Linked DNA regions of Coturnix japonica. The protein of the gene in region 3 interacts with the protein of the main gene of each other region in a pairwise test. Links are inferred from orthologs where the notes say so. Each region holds a gene or a part of one and is shown on either strand. Other genes may lie near its edges. The genes, in order: CASP7, DIPK1B, SAT1, KCNA4 and CCDC148.

The links.
Region 1: the proteins of SAT1 (region 3) and CASP7 interact in binary tests that used the Homo sapiens proteins (3 or more experiments, as listed by UniProt). The two-hybrid records come from large-scale screens. The link is inferred for Coturnix japonica from reciprocal best matches to the Homo sapiens genes SAT1 and CASP7.
Region 2: the proteins of SAT1 (region 3) and DIPK1B interact in binary tests that used the Homo sapiens proteins (3 or more experiments, as listed by UniProt). The two-hybrid records come from large-scale screens. The link is inferred for Coturnix japonica from reciprocal best matches to the Homo sapiens genes SAT1 and DIPK1B.
Region 4: the proteins of SAT1 (region 3) and KCNA4 interact in binary tests that used the Homo sapiens proteins (3 or more experiments, as listed by UniProt). The link is inferred for Coturnix japonica from reciprocal best matches to the Homo sapiens genes SAT1 and KCNA4.
Region 5: the proteins of SAT1 (region 3) and CCDC148 interact in binary tests that used the Homo sapiens proteins (3 or more experiments, as listed by UniProt). The two-hybrid records come from large-scale screens. The link is inferred for Coturnix japonica from reciprocal best matches to the Homo sapiens genes SAT1 and CCDC148.

Annotation. Positions count from the first base shown.
Region 1 is NC_029521.1:24,406,381-24,410,342, reverse strand, and holds the start of CASP7 (caspase-7), read right to left. Parts: upstream 2,804-3,962; 5' UTR 2,743-2,803; intron 2,659-2,742; exon of another isoform or gene 2,436-2,658; intron 2,019-2,435; coding exon 1,906-2,018; intron 1-1,905. UniProt on the Homo sapiens protein: Thiol protease involved in different programmed cell death processes, such as apoptosis, pyroptosis or granzyme-mediated programmed cell death, by proteolytically cleaving target proteins.
Region 2 is NC_029532.1:6,229,799-6,234,052, forward strand, and holds the start of DIPK1B (divergent protein kinase domain 1B), read right to left. Parts: upstream 2,810-4,254; 5' UTR 2,654-2,809; coding exon 2,591-2,653; intron 1,086-2,590; coding exon 951-1,085; intron 31-950; coding exon 1-30.
Region 3 is NC_029516.1:107,414,831-107,418,933, reverse strand, and holds the start of SAT1 (diamine acetyltransferase 1), read right to left. Parts: upstream 2,810-4,103; 5' UTR 2,596-2,809; coding exon 2,530-2,595; intron 2,333-2,529; coding exon 2,113-2,332; intron 970-2,112; coding exon 868-969; intron 759-867; coding exon 718-758; intron 444-717; coding exon 273-443; 3' UTR 1-272. UniProt on the Homo sapiens protein: Enzyme which catalyzes the acetylation of polyamines. Substrate specificity: norspermidine = spermidine >> spermine > N(1)-acetylspermine. This highly regulated enzyme allows a fine attenuation of the intracellular concentration of polyamines.
Region 4 is NC_029520.1:5,295,398-5,299,444, reverse strand, and holds the start of KCNA4 (potassium voltage-gated channel subfamily A member 4), read right to left. Parts: upstream 2,806-4,047; 5' UTR 2,011-2,805; intron 1,216-2,010; 5' UTR 417-1,215; coding exon 1-416. UniProt on the Homo sapiens protein: Voltage-gated potassium channel that mediates transmembrane potassium transport in excitable membranes. Forms tetrameric potassium-selective channels through which potassium ions pass in accordance with their electrochemical gradient.
Region 5 is NC_029522.1:33,155,830-33,160,131, forward strand, and holds the end of CCDC148 (coiled-coil domain-containing protein 148), read right to left. Parts: intron 3,393-4,302; coding exon 3,275-3,392; intron 2,183-3,274; coding exon 2,042-2,182; intron 747-2,041; coding exon 600-746; 3' UTR 506-599; downstream 1-505.

The DNA.
Region 1 (3,962 bases), on a different chromosome or scaffold from region 3:
AAAAGAACAAATTAAAGAAATTCAGTCCAGAATATACTCTCACAGAAATCTGATTTAGGGACATCTCATATCAAAGGTTTTAATGTTAATATTCCCAGCGAATTTTTCTTCCACATACTCATCTGGGTTTTTCTGAATTCATCTAAGTATCAACATATGTATATCCTGTGACTAAAATTTTACATCTGTGTTCTGTACTATGGGGAAAATTGTGTCTGACTGATTGTTTTAATCTCACTCTATAAACTTTTCATTGGATGTCCCTTGTATTTTTTTTTGTGAGGCTCGATGAGCAATCATTCACCATCCACTTTCTCCTTTGTGACTGCCACTGGTTTTGGTCATAAACCGTCTTCCTTTATCCTCTCACATTCCTTTTCTATATTCCTGCAGGCCAGAGAGTATCTATAAGATAATGACCTTATCAGTGTACTTGGATTTTTAACATCTCATTCCACTTCAGGCTAACATAACTTTTGCCAAGCAGCCCTGATAGATTATTTCAGACTCAATAATTTCCTACAAAACCTCTATTGAAAAATCTCAAACTTTTCCTATTCAATCTTTTATTCTGTCTTTATTTTATGAGTTCCTTTTTATTTCTAGCAAAAGAGGTTTCAAACTTGTATCTTCAAGGATTTCCCAAAAGATGAATGTCTCAAACTGATGAACAGCCAAATTACTTGAAATTTTTCTTATATTTAAAAAAAAAAACAAAGCGATAGAAATGCTGATTCTTGCTTTTCCTTCAGGAATAATCAACTTGGAGTTGCATAATTGAGTAACGACATTAGCATATCACTTCTTTAGAAGATGTCATATTTTAAGACATACATCTTATAAATTTTAAAAGAAAACTTGGAAAAATGCTTGAAGTTTTAGAAACAAATGTTATGTTGTCTGTCTTGTATCATGTGCATTTGTGATAGTTAAAAATACACATCTGAAAATGCATTTGAGGAATAGGAAAATGATAGACAAAAAAAATTCTGTGCTTTGCTTTAGGGCACACCAAAAGTCATGTAAGACAAAGGCAGCTTCACTTCTCTCACATATCTCCCAGATGTTACACCCATCACATCCCTATAATACACTACAAAGATGAAATGATATTCTTCAAGTGCTTCCTCTGAATTATCCACACTGAAGTGAACAATACATGTCCAACAATAAAAAATTAAACCTCTGTAAATACAAGTATTTGTAATAAACACCTGTACTAACATATTGTAAGTTTACCCCATTAATTAGTATTTTCTGATCTTCAACAGCATTTGTTAATTTTGCATGTTCGTTGTTTAGCTGTTGCATTTTCAGCCACATTCATCTAGTGTTTTACAGACAATGAGCACATTGTTCTTGCTGCCTGTACATTTAATGAAAGTAAAATTATGCTTCAGTGAGTCTACTAGGCTAAAATGAAAGGCTTTTAATTTATTCTGTAATGGGTTACATCTCTAGACTCAGTGAGGCTTCTTTGTGCTACGGTCTAGATGGTGCATCCAGGCTTTAAACTAACTTAAATAGTCAGCAGGGGATTCCAACGATGTGAGAGATTAGCTGAGCTGAATGCAGTAAAATAGATAATTAATGGCATATTTCATTCCCAGCTCCACGAAAGGGCAATGTTTAAGATGAGGGGCTACAACTGACACTAAATGAACTTAGTGGTCTCTTGACTACCAAGTAAGCTGATGGGAGATATTATGGGTCTCTAAATCAGAGCAATGCAAGGGCTGTTCAGCTTTAGGGTACAGATTAAATATGTTAGAACTTATACAACACTGAGTGCCTATCAGACACTCTTTGATGCTCTGGGCATGGCAAACTGAACACTGCAATCCCATTTGAAGGGCAGTATCACAGCTGACAAAAAGAAAAACAGAAATGGATGTAGTAACTTACTTTGCAAAAAGTGAGAGTCTGCTACTCCTGTCTGGTTTCGCATCAACTATATCATCTTGATCTCCATTACTTCTCTCTTCAGAGGAACGATCAGCACACTGATCTCCTGACATCTATAAATCAAGTACAAGAACGTAAGCATCTCTCAGTGAGTGCTATTATTTCAGTATTTCCTAAATAAAGCTGTTAAATGGACGCATGGGGTTGCCAGTTTATGTCCTGTGGTCCTTAACCAAGAGCGGCTATAGATTTCTGGTGCTGCATTAAAGTGGTACGATACATGCGTGGCCATCTCTGTTCTGCCTTGTGGTGAATGCCAAAAAGTCTGACACTACTCCAAACAAGGCAGATAAGAACAGAAGTAAAAGTCACGTTATGATCTTACAACTAATTGCCAGAAGATTCTTCATTATCTGGAAAGAAGTGCGTTTGGAAGGAAGTAGATACATGCAAATAGGCTTAAAAGGAACTCTATCATCTTCCAAGGATATGATCTTAATTTTCAATTTCTGTTTGGTCTATATCAACAGCGTACAGTCCTTAGGAAAAAAGCAAGTGCTTCTTGGAAATGAAGTTGCAACACAGGAAGGAAGGAAAGTGTGCAGGCCACGGGCAGAAGGAGAAGATGCCCCAGCGAAGCGGTCCCACCTACGCAGGTGGAGGAAATCAGCGCCATCGATTGCAAATAATACAAGGAAATGGCTGTGCAGCCACGCGAAGGGTCGGACCGCTTCCAGCCCTCTGCAGCGCGAGGTAGGGGGACAGTGGGAGGGAGCGGGGCGGAATAGAGCAAAGCCCGAGGGACCCGAAGGGCAGGGGACTGGCAGCGGGGCTTGCCTTAACGCTGGGCTCCGGAGAGACGGAAGCGAAAGCAAAAGCGAAAGCAGAAGGTGGGGCCTGCGGGCAGAGAGCGGGGCGGGGTCTGTCCTTGTCCCGGTGCGCTCCGCCCGGTGGCCGGGCGTGCCGGCTGTCCCGGGGCTGTGGGGCTTAGTGTCCCCCTTCTTTCATCTTCATCCCAAAGATGAGAAAATTGCTGCTTTTTAACAGCAACGTTCCGACACACCCCCTCGAAAGAGGAACCTGAAGTTTCATGGTGACACGAGATTGTCTAGATCTAAGGAAATTTTTTCCCTTATATAAACTTCAGTGGCATTTCCTTATCTTTCCAATTATTCACTGTGTTGCATCTCCGCTAATTGTGATACCCCACTGTGTAGCCGTTGCATCGGACCCAGCAGTTCAGTGCATGGGCTGGAGATTGGCACAGTCTTGCTAATTACTCCTGGATACGGGCTCCGATCCTGCAAAATCACACACCTACCCAGCGGCGTGCGGTGTTTAACATTCGCTACCTGAAGAGATTCACATCAAAGCGACATTTTTCAGTGTAACTGCCTCATAATTGGCACAAAACACAGGCTTTGTAACAAACAGCCTTTTGCTTCTCGACAGGTCACCGCTTCGATGTGAGCGAGCAGTGTCTGAGCTGCGCATGGCTCTCGCCAAGCTTCTGTGTGCTGCTGCAGGGCCGAGCTCCGCTCTGTGGGATTATGCCTGTAGCTCCTGGTTGGAGACAGAGCCAAAGCTTGCTGCTGAAAATTAAGCTCTAACAGAGTCCCATGGCTCCTCTCACGCCATCTGTTAGCTGCTTCTTTTCTAGAAGCCAGCTCCATTTCCAAATCTGTAATAGATCTTTAAGGACAACAGAGGAACTAGAAATGTAATGGATCTTCAAGTAAATGTGTGGAGAGGTGAGGTGGGAGAGAGTTGTAGAACCATAGAATGGCTTAGGTTGGAAAGAACATTGAGTTCCAAACCCCCTGCCATCGGCATGTTTACCCCCCACCAGCCATGCTGCCCAGGGCTCCAACCAACCTGACCCTGATGCCTCTAGGGATGGGGCATGCACAGCTCTGGGCAGCCTCTGCCAGTGCCTCACCACCACCATCTCCCATGAGCTTTCTCTTCTCCAAGCTAAACAACCCCAGTCCTTTGATCAGGATTATGGCATAAACAGCAATGACTGGCACTGGTTCGTGAACATCCAAATACGCTTT
Region 2 (4,254 bases), on a different chromosome or scaffold from region 3:
AGAAATGATTCCTTTCTTGTACTGGTCGCACTGGGGAGGGAAAGCAGAGAGTGGTTTCTCATGAATGCCATTGCATCCATGGTGAGCCTGTTTCCTCTGATTTCATGCAAACCTCATACAAGAGAAAACCCCTCTTTAAAAGGGGCGCATCTGATTGCAAAGCCACTGCCAAGCAACAGGCATCTCCAGCAGGAGCCGGGTGATGGTGAGGATGCGCGGAGGCTCTCAGCAGAGCAGCAGCCTGTGCTATGAGATGGGTTGGCCCCTGTTCATGCCATGGCTCTGGTCCACAGGCAGGGCAGCTCGCTCGGTGAGCTGGAAGCATCCAGGAGTGGGAGAGGCTGCAGCTCTGCAGTCAGCAGCGCGGGCTCAGCAGCCTCAGGCTGGAAACAGGCGCTACAGAAATTCACAGCATCTATTGCCTTTCATTATGGTTTGTTTTTTATTCAGTGTGGATAGGAATTAACCCTCAGACCTGCCTACACGGGCCACAGCTGGACACGGTGCCTTAAACACCAAGCTCAGAGCAGGAATTAGCACCCGAGACCCCACGGTCGGAGTCATGCAGAAAATCAAATTAAACGATTGCTGCTGTTGTTATGGCAATTCCTGCCTCCCTGCTCTGCAGAAGGGTTGATGAACAAGGTGTTTCCAGGCAGAGCCTCGCTGTTCTGCTCCCTCCCTGCCAGGCTGGGCAGACCTGCAGCAGTACTAAGGAGCTCTGCTTGGCCACCATCCCCAGCTGGGCTCCTGTGCAGGGTCTCCCTGGCCTGCTTCCCTCTGACATCTATTAGGTGAGTTTGCCATCGCCCTGCCAGAATTAAGGTCACCTCCCCAGCCTGCGAGCTCAGCGTGATGCTGGGGATGGAGCCAGCACAACGCAGCCCCAGCACTGCAACCACAGCTGCTCCCGGTGGCACAGCTCACCCTTTCCCCACGCCATCACTCACGATTATCATCCGGCAGACGTGGCCACGGCAGAGCTCAGAGTAGGATGAGTAATGCATGTAGGCCACCCAGCTGCCCACGAAGATGCCCAGCCACACCACCAGCAGGTACTTCACCTTGATGCCTGGAAGGCGGTTCTGCAAGGGAAGGAAGACACAGTGAGTGAACACAGTGGTGCTCAGCTCATCGGTGCTGTCAAGAATTGGACTTTTCCAAACAAATCCATTGATGGAACCTTCAGCCTTTTTTCTGTCTATTATGCAACTCCTGCTGCAAGTAGGTCACTTAAAATTCCCTAAAAGCAGAGATTACAGCCACTCCCCAGCAAAGCACTCTGCAAAACTTCAGTGCCCACCTGACCCTCCTTGCACCTCTCATGTGGGTGATGGACCATAATTGGGAATACTGAAGCATGAATGGACTCACAGTGCCCCCTGTGCCCATCAATCCCACCGCTAATTCACGCCTATTCCAAGAGAATCCTCCATGAGGGCTGGGTAAAAATAAAGGATGTCTGGATTTTCCCACAGGGCTGTGTTGCATCAAAGCCAAAGGCAGCCTGAAGCACTGGAGGCTGATACATTGTGAGACCCTCACAGCACAGCAGCCCCCACAGCCGTCAGCAGTGTGCACTGTACTGATGGAGAGGCACCTCTGGTCTGAACCAGCGGGTCTGGTTCCACTGCTGCTCCTGGATCTCTTCCCCAGCATGGAGTGACGAAGCCTTGGGCAGCTAAAACGCCCCTTTGGGCTCATTCAGATCAAGGATCCATCACGTTCCTGAGCAGACATGAGGTCAAGGCTAAAACCTGAGCACAGCATACGGGGTATTTCATTATCCATCAAAATGGTGGAAAGGAGCATGAAGGTTTGGGATGCACCGCAGTGAGGCTCCATTGGGTTCAGGGCACATTGTGGATCTTTGTCTGATGCTGCATTCCTCTCCCTTCCCCCCTCCCAGGACACAGGGGTGCCCTTCCCAGAGCCAGAGGGCATCTGTTACCCTGTCTTTAGTTTTAGGATGACTCCAAGGGATGTGGCAGTGATTTGGGTCCACAGCTGCCACCAAAGGCAATATGGACAGTGTCACCACCCCCGCGTGCCCTTGCCCCAATGCCACCAGCTTGGCCCTCCCTGCAAGACCCCAACCCCATGCAGCCACTCCTCAGGCCCTTGGACTTGGAGGGTGACAGAGCAGAGCCACAGATCTCAGCTCCCAACCAGTCCCAGCCCCTCAGTGCCCCCACCCCCCCCCCGGCCTCATGGGCTGAGGATGGAAAAGCAAATAAAAGAACAGGGAAAAAAAAAGCAAAGGGTGGAAGTCAGCCATGCTGCTGCACCGCTGTACATGTACGGGGAGTGGATGGGTGGGCGGATGGATGGACAGACGGATGCACACATCGACATGTTGGCGGTGCTGCGAGCTGCGCGTTATGCAACCAGCGTGGATGCTCGGTCCCCCGTCACTCCGGTCCCCATCCCATCGCTATCCTCAGCACCCGCACAGCGCTACGAAGCATCCCTTTGTGCGGGGATGGGCAGCACGGAGCCTCTCCCGACCCGAATCCCCCCCATATCCAGCCCCATATCCCGCCCCCCCCCCCCCCAAACCTCCCGGCCCGGATCAACCCCCGGGCGATACCTGCAGGCCCTTGGAAATGGGGCAGAACAGCACCAGGTGCACCAAGCGCCGGACCCTCCTCATGCTGCGGGCACCCCGCGGGCCTCAATCACCGGGGGGCATGGCTGCGGCCCCCGCCTCGCTCCGGGGGTCGGGGTAGGGGCGGGGGGCCGAGCCGCTCCGCCCGTCCACAGCCGCAGCGCTCTCGGCCCGGTTCGGCTCCGATCGGCTCGGCCCGGCTCGGCTCCGCCCGGCGCGGGGCGGTGCACGCAGCTCCGCCGCAGCTCGGGGGGGAGGAGAATTGGGGGCGGGGGGGGGGGAAGAAGCTGAGGATGCCCGGTGCCGTTGTTCGGCTGTGCCCGCTCATCAGCCGCCCCTCAGCCCCGCACTGACCCCGCTGCGTTCCGGGGGTGCCGCTCCCGATCCCGAGGAGCTGCGGAGCTCTGCGCGTAACGCTGCTGCGCCTTCTGAACGCCAAAGCCGAGCAGCAGCAGCAGCAGCAGCAGCGCTCCGAGTGTTGCGTTTGGGAAACCTCCAGCCAAACAGGGGCTGCTTTGTGCGGGAGAACGCGGCCGGATCAGCCTGTTCTGTGCGGGGCAGGAGCCGGGTGGACAGAGAGAGAAACAGGACGGGGAGCGCTCCGGGATGGCTCCGCACAAAGCTGCTTCTAAAGCTCCTCAGTCGCTATTCGTAGCTCCTCGCATTATCCACTTGTCCCTTTCTCTTCAGATCACCCCATTGGACTTCGGCTCCGGATGAGCCCCGAAAACACTTGGGGTGCTCGGCATCGTTGTGCGGGGATGGACGGCACCGCGTGGAGGCAATTAACGGCACATGGGGGGGCTGCCCAGGGTGGGCGCAGGGTGAGGGATGGGGCTGAACTGCTCTGAGTGTCGCTGCGATGGCCGGGGGTGGATCGTCCAAAGAATCTAATTAGGAACGAGCAGACCTTCGCCAGCTGTGATATGCCAAGTAATTAAGTGATTAGTATTGATTGCTGGGATGCTTAATGAGCAGTTAGAACCAAATGATTAATTAATTCAATCAAACGAGTGATAGCAATGCTGCAGGTGTTGGCTGGATCTTATGAGGGGGGGCAGTGGGACATCCCCATGGTGCCCACCCCCATCCATGTCCCAGGCTCATGGCTGAGGGTTCCAGGCTCTAATGCTCCTTCCTGTGCCCCCCACAAAGCTTTGGGGCCTCTCCCCCACACCATACAGCTGATTGGGCTCATTGGGGCTAATTGGTGTTGGTTTTATGCATCAAGGGATTAATAAGACCCTATGCAGCCCTGGGAGCTCTTCCAGTGCAGACAGCTGGCTGGAGAAGCCCTGGTGTCCTTTACGTATCAGATCAATTGGGATAGTTATAATCTAGTCCTTGATAAAGCTGAGAGCAGGTTTGCTGCCTTGCCAGCTCAAGGGGGGAAATAGCAAGCAGTGGGGAGGGGTGATGATGAACCCAGTGGTGCTGCTCCCAGCGATGGCTCCTGCAGGGAGCTGCACAGGGGCTGTTTGCCTCTGCATCTCACTGATGCTGTTCCATTGATCCTCTGTGACAGGTGGTGACTATGAGAGATTTTATATCCGGAGCCTTTAAGAGGCGTTAATTAATGAGAGGGGAAATGCAGAGAGGCAAAGTGTTATGTACCCCGTGTGGATTTGTTGTGGGTTTTGTTGGAC
Region 3 (4,103 bases):
GTACATTGTACACATTTGAATGCCACTTACAAGAATGAAGTTTCCATATACAAAGATTACAAGTTCACACTGGTAAAAGGATGGATACAAGCACGTATTCAACTTGAGATGCCTCCGCTCCAGCTGACGGTACCAATTACTCTATGACCATGGTTGCACAGTACTACCATCCACTCTATTTTATTCCACTACCAACACAGAAAGCAAGAAGGGGTTTATTCAGAGAGCGCGTATATTCATTGCAAGAGTTTAGTTGCTGGAATCTTCTCTCACTACTCTTCCGTTGCCATCTTCAACAGATACTCCTTGTCGATTTTGAAGAGCCTCCAGCCCTCTTCAGTGGACAGATCGGAGGCGCCCCTTCTCTTGTAGAACCTGATGGAGGGCTCGTTCCACTCTGCCACTAGGAAGTGCATGCTGCTGCAGCGGCACTTGACAGCAACCTGCAGGAACGCAAACACAGGTCAGCGGGTCTGATGCTAAGCAGCACCAGCTGCAGATTGCTCCGAGTCATGATGTTCACTTTATCTCTCAGTTCAGCCTCTAGGCAGTGGTTAAGGCTGCCTGGAGCTCTGTCATTTCTCTTTTAGTAACTCATCAATGCTAATCCTGTGTAGTGCTCAAGGAGAAACTTGATTGCAGCTAACAGAAAATCAAGACTACTGCTCCATCATGCATCCCCAGTGCTGTTCATTTAGACTTAACACTCAGACATACCTGACTCAGATTCTTCAGGATTTCTGATCCAATGCCAAGTCCTGAGGGAAAAAGCAACAAAAATATACAGTTTAAGGAAAAAACAGCAAGACAATTTCAATTTTAAAGTAGCTCTGTAGGAAGCAGCTTGTCTGATTCCATAGTACTTACCTCTGTATTCAGCCATCACATAGAAATCTTCAAGATACAACAGCTTCCCAATCCATGGATCGTAAGTGAAGTAATACATAGCAAAGCCCACGATGCTGTGCCCTGAAACAAAGCACGCAGCTTTAGCTGGTCTGAAGCTACCGATTTGCATTAAGTCTTACATGCATATTTAAATATACAGATAGTGACATGCAGCCGTTTGCTATAAGGTTAGAATAAGAATGAAGCACAACTGGAAACGTCAGTATAAACTGGCATCAACCTAACGGAAGACTGCCCTCTTCACACCCTGAAACGCTCAAGAGCAATGTTATAATAAGCAGTGAACAAAAAGGCTTTATTTCTACTAATACATACCCTACTGATTTATCAGCACTTCCCTTCTGGAATACAAAGCAATACAGAGCAGTCCAAGGCCTAGGTAACCGCCCCAACACTGCCTTGCTTGGCAACCCCGACAAGCTACAAAGCTCTACAGAAGGTTCATCTTCCAATGTATTGCTCAGTAGAGAGAAGACATGCTCAAAGACAACTGGTACATTCTGATACATTTCTGATACGCTGACATATGTGCACACTGATTGTATTGTGCTGTTTTGAATTCAGCACCAACAAATCAAGCTACATAGAACTGCAGCTTCAAGTACAGCTGCACCACTCAACAGGGAAGAGAAACCAGCTCTTCCTGCAATAACATATTCAAATCTAAGCCTTGAAAATCGCAATGTCTACCATCATACTCTGCACATACTCTAAAGGAAGCGTGCAATAACTTCTGATCTACTGTGTCTTTGGTAAAGGTTTGGGAATAGCACTTGTCCCTGTAGACCTTACCTCATATTATGATCATCTACTTTATTGTGTAACGGATCTTTTAGTTACCTCCCCGCCCATCCATGTACACAGAAGGGCCATGTACATGGCGAAGCTAGAGACTGTAACCTGAAGATTGGGGACAAATTAAAGAAAACATGTGATTCAACAGGATTACATAAGGTTAAGTTAGGGTCAAACAAGAAAAGCCATTTAATTACTTGGCATTAAGTACATTGTTACACCTGATCATCCAGCATCTCCGAGGTTAGCAACTACTTCACAACAGCACGGCTCTACGTTATCGCCATTTTTAAGCTTAGCCTGTTCCTCCTGCCCCGACTCCTCGCTGGAACCTCAAGTCAGGTAGGTCACAATAAGCACAAGGCATCTCTTATGTAAAAAGAACAAACGAGCGGCGCAATATCTCACCTTCAGCCGACCACTGCTCTTTGGGCACCTCCGCAACGAGGCAGTGGTAGAACGGGTGCTCACCGAATCCATCCTCCAGCAGCTCTACGAGAGCAAAACAAACGGGACCCTTCAGATGCGGGCGGCGGCACCGAGCCGCAGCAGGGCGGGCAGTCGCTGCAAGCCTACCTTTCTCGGTTAGCACCACTTGATCCTCCATGTCCTCGTACTTGGCTAGTTCCTGGAACGGCACAACACGTCAGCCGCCTCCCCCGGGCCCATCACCCCTCCTCCCTCCTTCCCTCCCCCCCTCGGCCTTGCGCAACGCCCTGTTTGCGCCTTCCCCGGGTTCGGCCGCCTTTCCTTCTCTCCCCCCCCCCCATCCCATCCCACCCCCCCCCACCCCATCCCTCTTGGCCTAACGTTGGCGTCCCGCACCTTGATCAGTCGCAGCAGGTCTGAGCAGTCCTCGGGACGCGCGGCGCGGATACTGAACGAAGCCATTTTCGACGGCGTTTCCCCCTGCGGCCCCCTCGGCTGACGAGTCCCCGGTGTGTGAACAGGAGGAGCAGCTGTTTCTTCATTCGTGTCCCGGGCGCGGCGGCCACCTGCGGTCAGTCAGGCTGCGAGCATGTCCCGGCGGCGCTCGGCAAGCAGACGGCTCCCACCCGACAACAACCCCGATCCAACGCCAACTGCGCCGGCTGCGCATCCTCCGCCTCCATTTATAGATGACCGCGCTCCGCCTCTCCCCGCACGACAGCCAATGGGAGTGCCCGCAGCTCTCGCCCCCAGCCAATGGTAGCGCCCCTCCCCGGAATCTTGCCTCGCCCTGCCAGCAACAGCTGCCGCCGGTGTCTCGTGACTGCCGGCCGCCATGGCGCCCTCTGGCGGAGGCGGGAGGCGCAGCAGGACAGGCCCCCCCTGCTGTATGTGAGGCTCGGGGCGGCTGTGCCACTCACACCGTTTTCCAGTGCACACCATGGCTTAAGAAGTTCACAGAATTGTAGGGGTTGGAAGGGACCTCTAGAGATCATTGAGTCCAACCCCCCTGCCAGAGCAGGCTCCCTACACCACGTCACACAGGTAGGCGTCCAGGCGGGTCTTGAATATCTCCAGAAAAGGAGACTCCACCACCTCCATGGGCAGCCTGTTCCAGTGCTCCGTCACCCTCACTGTAAACAAATTATTTCTCACATTCATGTGGAACTTCCTATGCTGAAGTTTCACCTTCATTTAGACACAGGGACCAGTATGGAACATGATACTGCCCAAGGATTGGATGGAGAAGTGTATTCTGGTGTCCAGGTTTGGTCAAGAAAACCATCTGGCACATGCTTAGAGCCCTGGAAGGCTCTAACATCTTAAATTCACCCTAAATCCAGTTTAGCCTCCATTAGAACAAATATGGAGCTGTCCAGAGAACAGATGCATATAAAAACCAGGAAGTGGCAGTCACAAAATCACATAATCACAGAACTGTAGGGGTTGGAAGGGAACTCTGGAGATCATGGAGTCCAACCCTATAGCAGGTTGCACAGGAAGGCATCCACAGGGGCCTTGAATCTCTCCAGAGAACAAACTCCACAGGCTCTCTGAGCAGCCAGTCCCAGGGCTCTATCATCCTCACAGTGACGAAGTGAACTTCTTTACAGTGAGGGTGACGGAGCACTGGAACAGGCTGCCCAGGGAGGTGGTGGAGTCTCCTTCTCTGGAGATATTCAAGACCCGCCTGGATGCCTACCTGTGTGACGTGGTGTAGGGAGCCTGCTTTGGCAGGGGGGTTGGACTCGATGATCTCTAGAGGTCCCTTCCAACCCCTACAATTCTGTGATTCTGTGATCTTCCTCATGTTAGTACAGAACTCTTTGAGTTCCAGCTGCATTGCCCCTTGTTCTATTGCTGCTCACTACCAAAAAGAGTTTGCCCCATCAACATGACTCTCACACTTTAGGTATTTATAAACAGTTATGAGATCCCCTCTCAGCCTTCTCAGCTACCAAAACCAGGTC
Region 4 (4,047 bases), on a different chromosome or scaffold from region 3:
TCCTCTTCCTCCTCACTCACGTCTTTCAGTATTCTCTCTTCAGAACCACTGAGAGGAAGCAGCTCAGAACAGGGGAAAGAGGCTCCACACTCCCTGCTTCCCAAGTGGTGGCTCCTCTTTCTCCCTTTCTTCCATCTCTTACCACTCTGGCGGTTAGGCAGGCTGCTGCGAGATGCATTCCCACCATGTGAGGAAGAAGCACCTCGACTCTGTTCCTGGTGATAGTGGTGATATGGTCCACCTCCACCTGTTGCCCCCCCTTCTACTGCTGCAGTTGCTGCTGCTACAGCTGCAGCTGCTGCAGCTCTTGACTGTGCCAGCCGCTCTCTCTCTCTGGCCCGAGCTTGGGCTGCATATCCATAGGGCATATGGCTGTTGCAGCCAGAGCTATCTGCACTCACCATTGCAACCTCCATTTTGCAACAGCTTTTTTGTTGCTTAGTGCAAGAGCTTTCGTTTTATTTACAGTGCAACCTTAACTTTCACCATAGAAAGTTTAAAGCTATTTGCATTTGGAGGACAGTGCATTGGACCCAGAGCGGGGCAACATAGTTGCAACACTGAATCTGTATTTTGGGAAACCACAGATCTACATTTTCTTACTGTCTAAAACTCTTGTGGGGGGGGAGGGGAAGGGGGGAAATGAAAAAAAGGAAAAAAAGGGAAAAAAACCCACCTATAATTTTACTAATAAGAAAAGATGAAACTCTCAAACTAGACCAAGGAACAGCGGAGGCTTTATTCTTTCATCCACTGAACCCTTTTATTTTCATTTATTTCCCATATCTACCACTGATCTGATCAGATTCATGACTACATTCATGAAGACAAAAACATGCAAAACAAAGGGTACCTGCTCTCCATAGATGATTTTAGTTCATCATTGCAACCAAATGCAAATAGTCTCTTTCCTCACAATTTGTTCCTGGTAATGCTTTGGCCTAGCAATCTTATTATTGTTTAATATCATGATTTGGGGAGTTGAAACTAATTCCAGCCATCACTCTATTTACACAGTGAGGAGGTCTTTGCAAATCCTTTCTTCAGCCTGTCAACAATGTTTCAAACCTGGGAGCAGCACCCAGGGCGTCAGCAGCAGTGGTAAGAGGAGGAGGAGGAGATGAAGACTGAGAAATTGGTTCTGAGGTCCCCATAGGACATAAGGGAGTGGATGGGTCACCCTTTGGTTATGGTCATGCAGAAGAAGCACTTAACCTGAGGCACATGCACAAACACACAAAAATAAACAAAACAAAAAGGGAGAAGATTGGATTGTTTTCCTCAAAGGTCACACTGCTCAAATGAAACTGTGTCATCTATTACCACGGTATTCTAATCTTCCCCTTCCCACACTATTCACACTTCTACATTACACACACACCCACATCACATGCACAGAGAATGTGAACGACTCTGTTCATAAGGTTGTGGGTGGGTATGTCATATATATATAGACAGCTATACAAAATCCCCACCCATACAAGCACTTGCATCCATACACAAACGCATGCTTCTGAAACACACATAAACACCAATAAAATACTGTAAAACCCTATGCATTCAGAGATTTGACTGCATACGTAATAGGCACACCTACATATATCTACATGAAATATCATAAGAAAAGCATTTAAACAAAGAGCGTTTCATAGTATTGCTAAAAACAACAGACTTAAGAATGTTATATTTTAATTGGTAACTGAATTTTCAACCCTAACAAACATCTCACTGAATTTAATTTAGAAACAGGCAGGTACAATGCTCACTCAAGTGAAAACACCGTGATATGGTGTGTCAAACTACTGCAGGTGCACTGAAGCAACATCTACATGCAGACACATACAAGAATTCACATACACACACCCCTCTGAAACAGAACCCTCATCTACAGCTGTATCTATTAATATATGAAAGAAGGTGAATACAGACAATTAAATGACCGCTATTTCTTTTTAAATCATACCCATACGTCGTGCAAAAAAAGGGTCTTAGGATTGCTGCAATACTTACTGTTCATAGGCAGACAAATAGCAGTGCTGTTCTTGCCAGTGTAAGGATCTGGTGACAGCAGTCCTGAGCAGGGGGCTGCGCCAATTGACCCACGCCTGCAGGTGGGTGGGTAGGTCGGTCGGCACCACAGGTTGACGAGTTATTTTTCTCTCTGCTTTCCCTGTGCAACAAGAGAGCCGAGAACGAGCCAAGGAGGCAGCTTAAGCTGGGGGCACTCTGCACAACCGCAGCTTCTCACCCAGGCGATTGCAAAAAGGCAATAAGCAACAGCCTTGTTCCAAAACGATAAAAGAACGAAAAAAAAAAGGGGGAGGAGGGGGAAGGGGAGGATGTGAGAGTGTTCGTGTGTGAGAGAGAAAAGGAATGAATGGATGAGCGTGATCACTAGGCTTCCCGAGCCCGGCTTCTGCTGTAGATTTGTAAAGCAACGTTAAGTAATCCGTGTACCAAGCCTATTTCCACTCACTGATGGGAGGACGAGTGTTGCTTCTTGCTGTTTCTCCCCGTCACATCCACACAGCAGCAGCTACCTGCATCGTTCACTTGTTGTGCGGTTTGTTTTTTTGTTTTTTTGGTAACGCTTATAAAACCCATAAAAATAACAATAATTGATTAAAAAAATAAATTAAAAAAAAAAAAAGGAAAACCACCCGAGGAAAAAGCAGCAGCTCTCTCCCACCAGGCTCCCACCGCCCGATGTGCAAAGCTGCAGCAGCCAGCAACCGCAGGAGCTGCGCGGCCGTCCGCTGCGATGCTGCCGACGCGAGCCCTGTTGCTCCGCGGAGGCGCCGCCCGCCGAGCCTGCGCGCCGCCGGGAGCAGCCGTGGGGCCGCGGCCGTTCCATCGCATCGCTCCCGGCCCGCGGTCGGCCCCTCGCGGCCGCGCCTCGCACTGCTCCCGGCCCAGAGGCGGCTGTGGATGGGAGCGTTAATGCCGGAGATTAACGCTCCAGCGCTGAATAATGCATCCAAAAATCTCCGTTCCCAAAGCAGTGCTGCAGGTTTTGGTTTCTGGTTGTCGTGGTTTCTTTGCTTTTTTTTCCCTTTCCCTTTGGGTTTTTGTTTTCTGTTAGTTTTGTTTGCTTACGGGTTGTCAAGGTGGCTGTAAAGTGCAAAAACAAACACATATTGAGCATCTGAGAAAAAGCACTAAGCTGGCTCCACCTCTGTCCTCCTAATACCTTCAGAGAGCGATTCCCACTGCTCAGCAGCCATATGCTCTTGTCACCTAAGCCAATTTAACCATTTACCCCTAATCCTGTATATACAGAAGAGAAGGTCCCAGTTCATGAATAGGACTACTTCACATATTTGTAGACAAGACCTAAAATATCATTTTGACACTCTTGCTAAAGGATACATGTCTTTGCTCCCTCTACCCTCAGGCTGAAACACCTGCAGTGCGCAAACCAGATACTCCTTCCCCATCTGGAAAATCTACCTATGGACTGATACCATGAAAATGCAGCTTGGCTATATCTGATAGTACAGCTACAATTCCACTGCCTCAATAAAATGTGCAGATGCTTCTCCTTAGTGCAAGATAAGCAAAATAAAGACTTGGGACTTCAGTAAGAATGAAAGAAGAGCAGCACTCACTCCAACCACTTACCTTAAGGTGTTAGTACAGGGACACAAACTGAATGGTGCAGCAAGTGGGTGAGGCACGTTTGTCATTGCCCAGGCCTACTCCTTTTGCACAGCCCAGAGAAACCTACAGGCTGTTCCCCTTCAGATCCCTCGTGGTAGAAGCCAGATAATTCATGTTATATCTGTCTCTACTGCCTGCTTCCATCAGCACTTGTACTCTTCATCTCATTCATGCCGGTAGGTTGACGTGCAACTGTATAAGGGAGACTTAAGGAACAACCAAATTAATATTAAAAGGTCCTAATGGCCTTGTCAGAAGTACTGTGAAATGCAAAAAAGACACTTTTATCTGTTTCAAAATCAAAACAATAACAACAATTTTATATATTTACAGATCAGTACTACAACTCACTTCATTCAGCTTTATATTTTCATAGTATTCAAAGAG
Region 5 (4,302 bases), on a different chromosome or scaffold from region 3:
TCCTGAAAGACTGTCAGCACAGAATGGCTTCCATGATTGGTTTCCAGTAAACACGACACAGCAAATCGGTTTCTAAACATGGACAAAGGTTAAGTTCCTTCTTACAGTCATCAAGGAATAACAGGAAGATCTTATAATTAAAAGAACCAAATTCTCAGGCAACCTGGCATGAAAGTTATGTGGGATGTCTCCATGTAGCACAACATAATCTAAGCCACTGTGAAGCCTTTGGGTTCTACATTGCCAATTGGAATCCAGAATTCCGACCTTTGCTATGCATCAAATTGACCAGCAATGTTTGCAGAGGTCTTTCCCATCCCTGGCTCTTCTGCTGGGAAGAAACACGGGGAATCCTGCAGCACGGGGAGCTCTAGAGCAGCCCACCCCCACCAAACCTCCTCAGAGCCTTCACCCAGGCACCAGGCGGGTGCCAAATGTGGTACCAAACACTACAGGAAAGGCGCATCCTTTTCTTAAATGACTGCACACCGTGACAACAGAGCAGTTCCAAGACACAGCAATGGGAAATTTATTGTAAGCTCCACTGTTACGGCCCAGACTACAGCCCTGGAGCTTCTCTGCTCGATACACAACGTGCTCTACATTTTAAACACTGTAGATTCCATATCTCTTCTGGGAAGCTTCGGTGGAGGAATCTTTGGTAAAATCTCTTTTGCATAAAGTGTTTTATGAAGCCCAGCTTCTCGAAGGGCTGCCTCGACACGAAGCCTGGGGTCAGAAATGATCTGTCAAAATAAACCACAGCGACGATGAAACAAAACCATACTTTCCTCATTTACACTGTGAGTAAAGATGCACCTAAAGGCCATTTGTGAATGTATGTGCAAATACATACATTCTATATGTTTATAACAAAAGAGTTCAAAGGGTGATTAAAAATGTTTTGGTCATAAAACAGAGACTTTGGAAGCGAAGAAGCTCAATGATGAATAACTCACTACATGTATTTTAATATCACCCTTTTTAAAGGGTGATAAGTCTCACGTATCAGCCTCACATGCACCTCTTCAGAGCACCCTGAAAGCCAGGCTTTTCCAAACCTCACAACACCCAGTGGATCTGGGTGAATTTTCTTAGCCAAACATAGACCTTTGCATTAGAAATCATTCCCATTCTGGAATCTGGAAATGATACTGACAGAAAGAAAAATGCTATTATGTAGTTCCATGGCATAAAAGCTTTATTTTAGCATTGAATAAGCTGAAATGTAATGATGTCTGATACCATGCTTGTCCGGCACTTCCCTTTTTATGACATTTTAAAGCTTCTCAGTTTCAAATGCACACTCTGACAGATGGAGAGCAGTAAAGGAAACAGAAAATCCCTCCCTTTGTTGTTTAACTTCAGTTGAAATAGAGCTAGCACTCAGCAGAGCGGGCGACCTGAGAACTACTTCACTGCTTAGCGCTGACTGGCTTCTCCTTTAGCCCTCACATCCAACATCCCATCTGATTTTCAGTTCAGCAACAGCGAGCAGGTAGCCACCATTCTAACTTTCAGTTTATGAAGAGATGCATAATAAGATTCCAAAATGAAAAGGATACCCCACCATGAAGTTATCTGTGGCACTGGTCCTCCATGCAGTAAGGAGGATTTTAACTTCACTTCAGATACTCAGCACAACACCAGCAGGAGCAGGTGAATAGGAGGCACTTTTTAAAGTGAGCGTGCAGAGGCATGAAAGGAGTGAGTTTTGAACTGGAGCAATAGCAAAGCACTCAGCAAGCAGCCAGCACCCAGCGGCCGCCTGGTCCTGCATGCTCCATGGTGGGAGATGCAGCTCAGGGACAGCACCGCAGCCCCTGGGGCACTGTGTCTGTGTGCTGCAGCACTGCAGACTCCTGGGCACGGAGCTGGCTCCACCCATTGCTCCTGAGGTTTCTAGTTTTTTTAGTCACATCCATTATACTCCATGTTCTGCTATTAACATTACCATTTCAGCTGTGCAATCATCATCATGTATTGCTCTCACAGTATGACTGCATACAACAAACCACGCAGTACAGTGACAGACTATTACCTGCTCTTCACTGTATGTTTGCAACTGAAACAGAGGCTTTTGAAGAACAAACTCTCCTGTGGTCCCAATGCCCATCCGAGCTTTAGACGCTGCAGTATCAGCCACCATTCTTGCTGGATCTGGTTTTGCTACAATGGAAACCTGAAGTACGTGATATGAAAACAGCCATTACAGTCTGCGTAGGCCTGTGGTGCTATCAGTAACATGTGTCCCTTGAAAATACAATCACTGACATGGTTTAGAACCTGAAGCCAATCTGCATCCATATATAAGTACTGTAGAGCCAAAAAGTTGAGCCTAGAGTCCGTGCATCCCCTCAGGGCACCCTGTGAGTGCACACAGAGCCCTGAGCACACACACTGCCCCTCTGCAGACCCCTCCCCAGCACAGCTCAAGGCTCTCCAAATGATCCCAGCAGCACAGCCAGGCCCTGCCAGCAACCGCCAAGTGCTGTAACACAGAACAGAGGGGAAGATACAAGATGTGAATGCAGGAAAACTATCTCAGAACGAACAGTGGAAACCACTTTGATGCAATGAAATTCCTGATGGAGACAATTCAGTTGCCTAGACTTTATATAGCACCGTGCATGCCTGGTAAGCGCAGGGCTGCCACAGCCTGGAGAACTGCCTGCTACATGGGCAGGCTGCACACAGAGCAACCCGCACACTGTGAATGCCAATGCCAGTACTTACTAAATGAAATAAACGTGAAAGATGAATGGCATTTCTGTAAAGAGAGAGCTCATGTTGCTACCTCACAAATGCTGCAGGGAAATAAGCTTATGTTGAGCTCCAGGTGACCAGAGGACAGCCCCTCCTGAGGAGATGCACCGCTGCTCCGTGTCATAAGGACAGTGCGTGGCCATGGTTGCAAAGGAGACCTCAGGGGTGGTACAGCAGAAGTGCCAGCATCTGCAGCTCTAGCACAGATCAACACGAGCTCTGATGTTCACAACCCATAACCAGAAGCAGTCAGCAGGCTCAGTTTAGCCACGTCCATATTTCTGGACATCATAGTCCACTTTAACTTCTTAATATTCTTGTTGGTTACAAAGCACATAAGATTTATAGCATGACAGAATTAACATTAACGTCAGACCTAAAGTGCATTTCAGCCTCTTCATTTATTTGCTTGTGGCGTAACATTTTGTTTTAACTTCCTCATAATATGTCAGTATGCGTTTCTGTCTCTACTGCATCTGCAAATACCACACATAAGAAATAGAAGCACCTTTTGTCGGAGCGCTTCCAGGCATTTCTCTTTCTCTTGTGCTGCACGTGCTTCTCGAAGGGCCTCTTCCTTTCTCTCCAGGATCCGCTTTTCGAGCAGCGCTTCTCTAAACTTCACCCTGTAGAACAGCACACACACAAACAGGAAAACCGGTCAAGTCCCACTTTAAAGTTGTTACTTTCCTATTGAAAACTTGCCTGATGCTCTCATCAGAACTCCTGACAAATGCAAAGAGTTCCTTTCCCTTTACATATTTCTTGTAAGTTGCTTAGCCTTTCAGACTTCATTTCTACAGCCCTAGCTCCTCTCTAGCAAGCCTTAAGCTTTATAGCACCATTACTCACTTTTTTCCATTTTCTTTGCCAAGAAGAAATGTTCTTTGACATCTGTGTATGGCAGCACAACTGTTCCCTGTAACCCTTTCCATTTAAAGAAACCGATCCCTTCCAAGAAGCAAGAAAACTCATGAATTAAAAACCTTCTCCAAAGGAACAAGCAGAGCACAGCACAAATAATCCTGAGGCTTTACTTGCAGCACTACCTCCACTGCTCAGCAGCCCTGGCTATCTGGCATCCACGCTTATCTGGTGAGACCAGAACGCAGCAGTGAGTCTGGGGTATATGTATATATTTAATAATTATTTTATAAGCCCAATCGCTCAATTTAAAATTAAAAATAGAAAGAATTCAGGCTAAGGGCAGAACATTCTTTGGTATCCGACTGCATCCATTAGGAACACTCTGAGTTTGCCCAGGCTGTCTCTCCCACTTGGAACAGTCAGCCAGCTCACACACATCAAGCCTTCTCCTTTCCCAGGAAAGCCTGACACATCAGATCAGAATCGCTGTGCTACTCGGATCCAACTCTTACAATCAGCTCTGCAGAGGCTTAAAAACACGTTGTGCTCCAGAACAGGCTAAGCATGTGAGGATACAATTAGTTCCTATAGAACTGCAGTCCTTCACCGTGAAACCATTACAGCAGCATGCCTGCCTTCAGTACAGCACATGCCTGATGCCATGCTAGT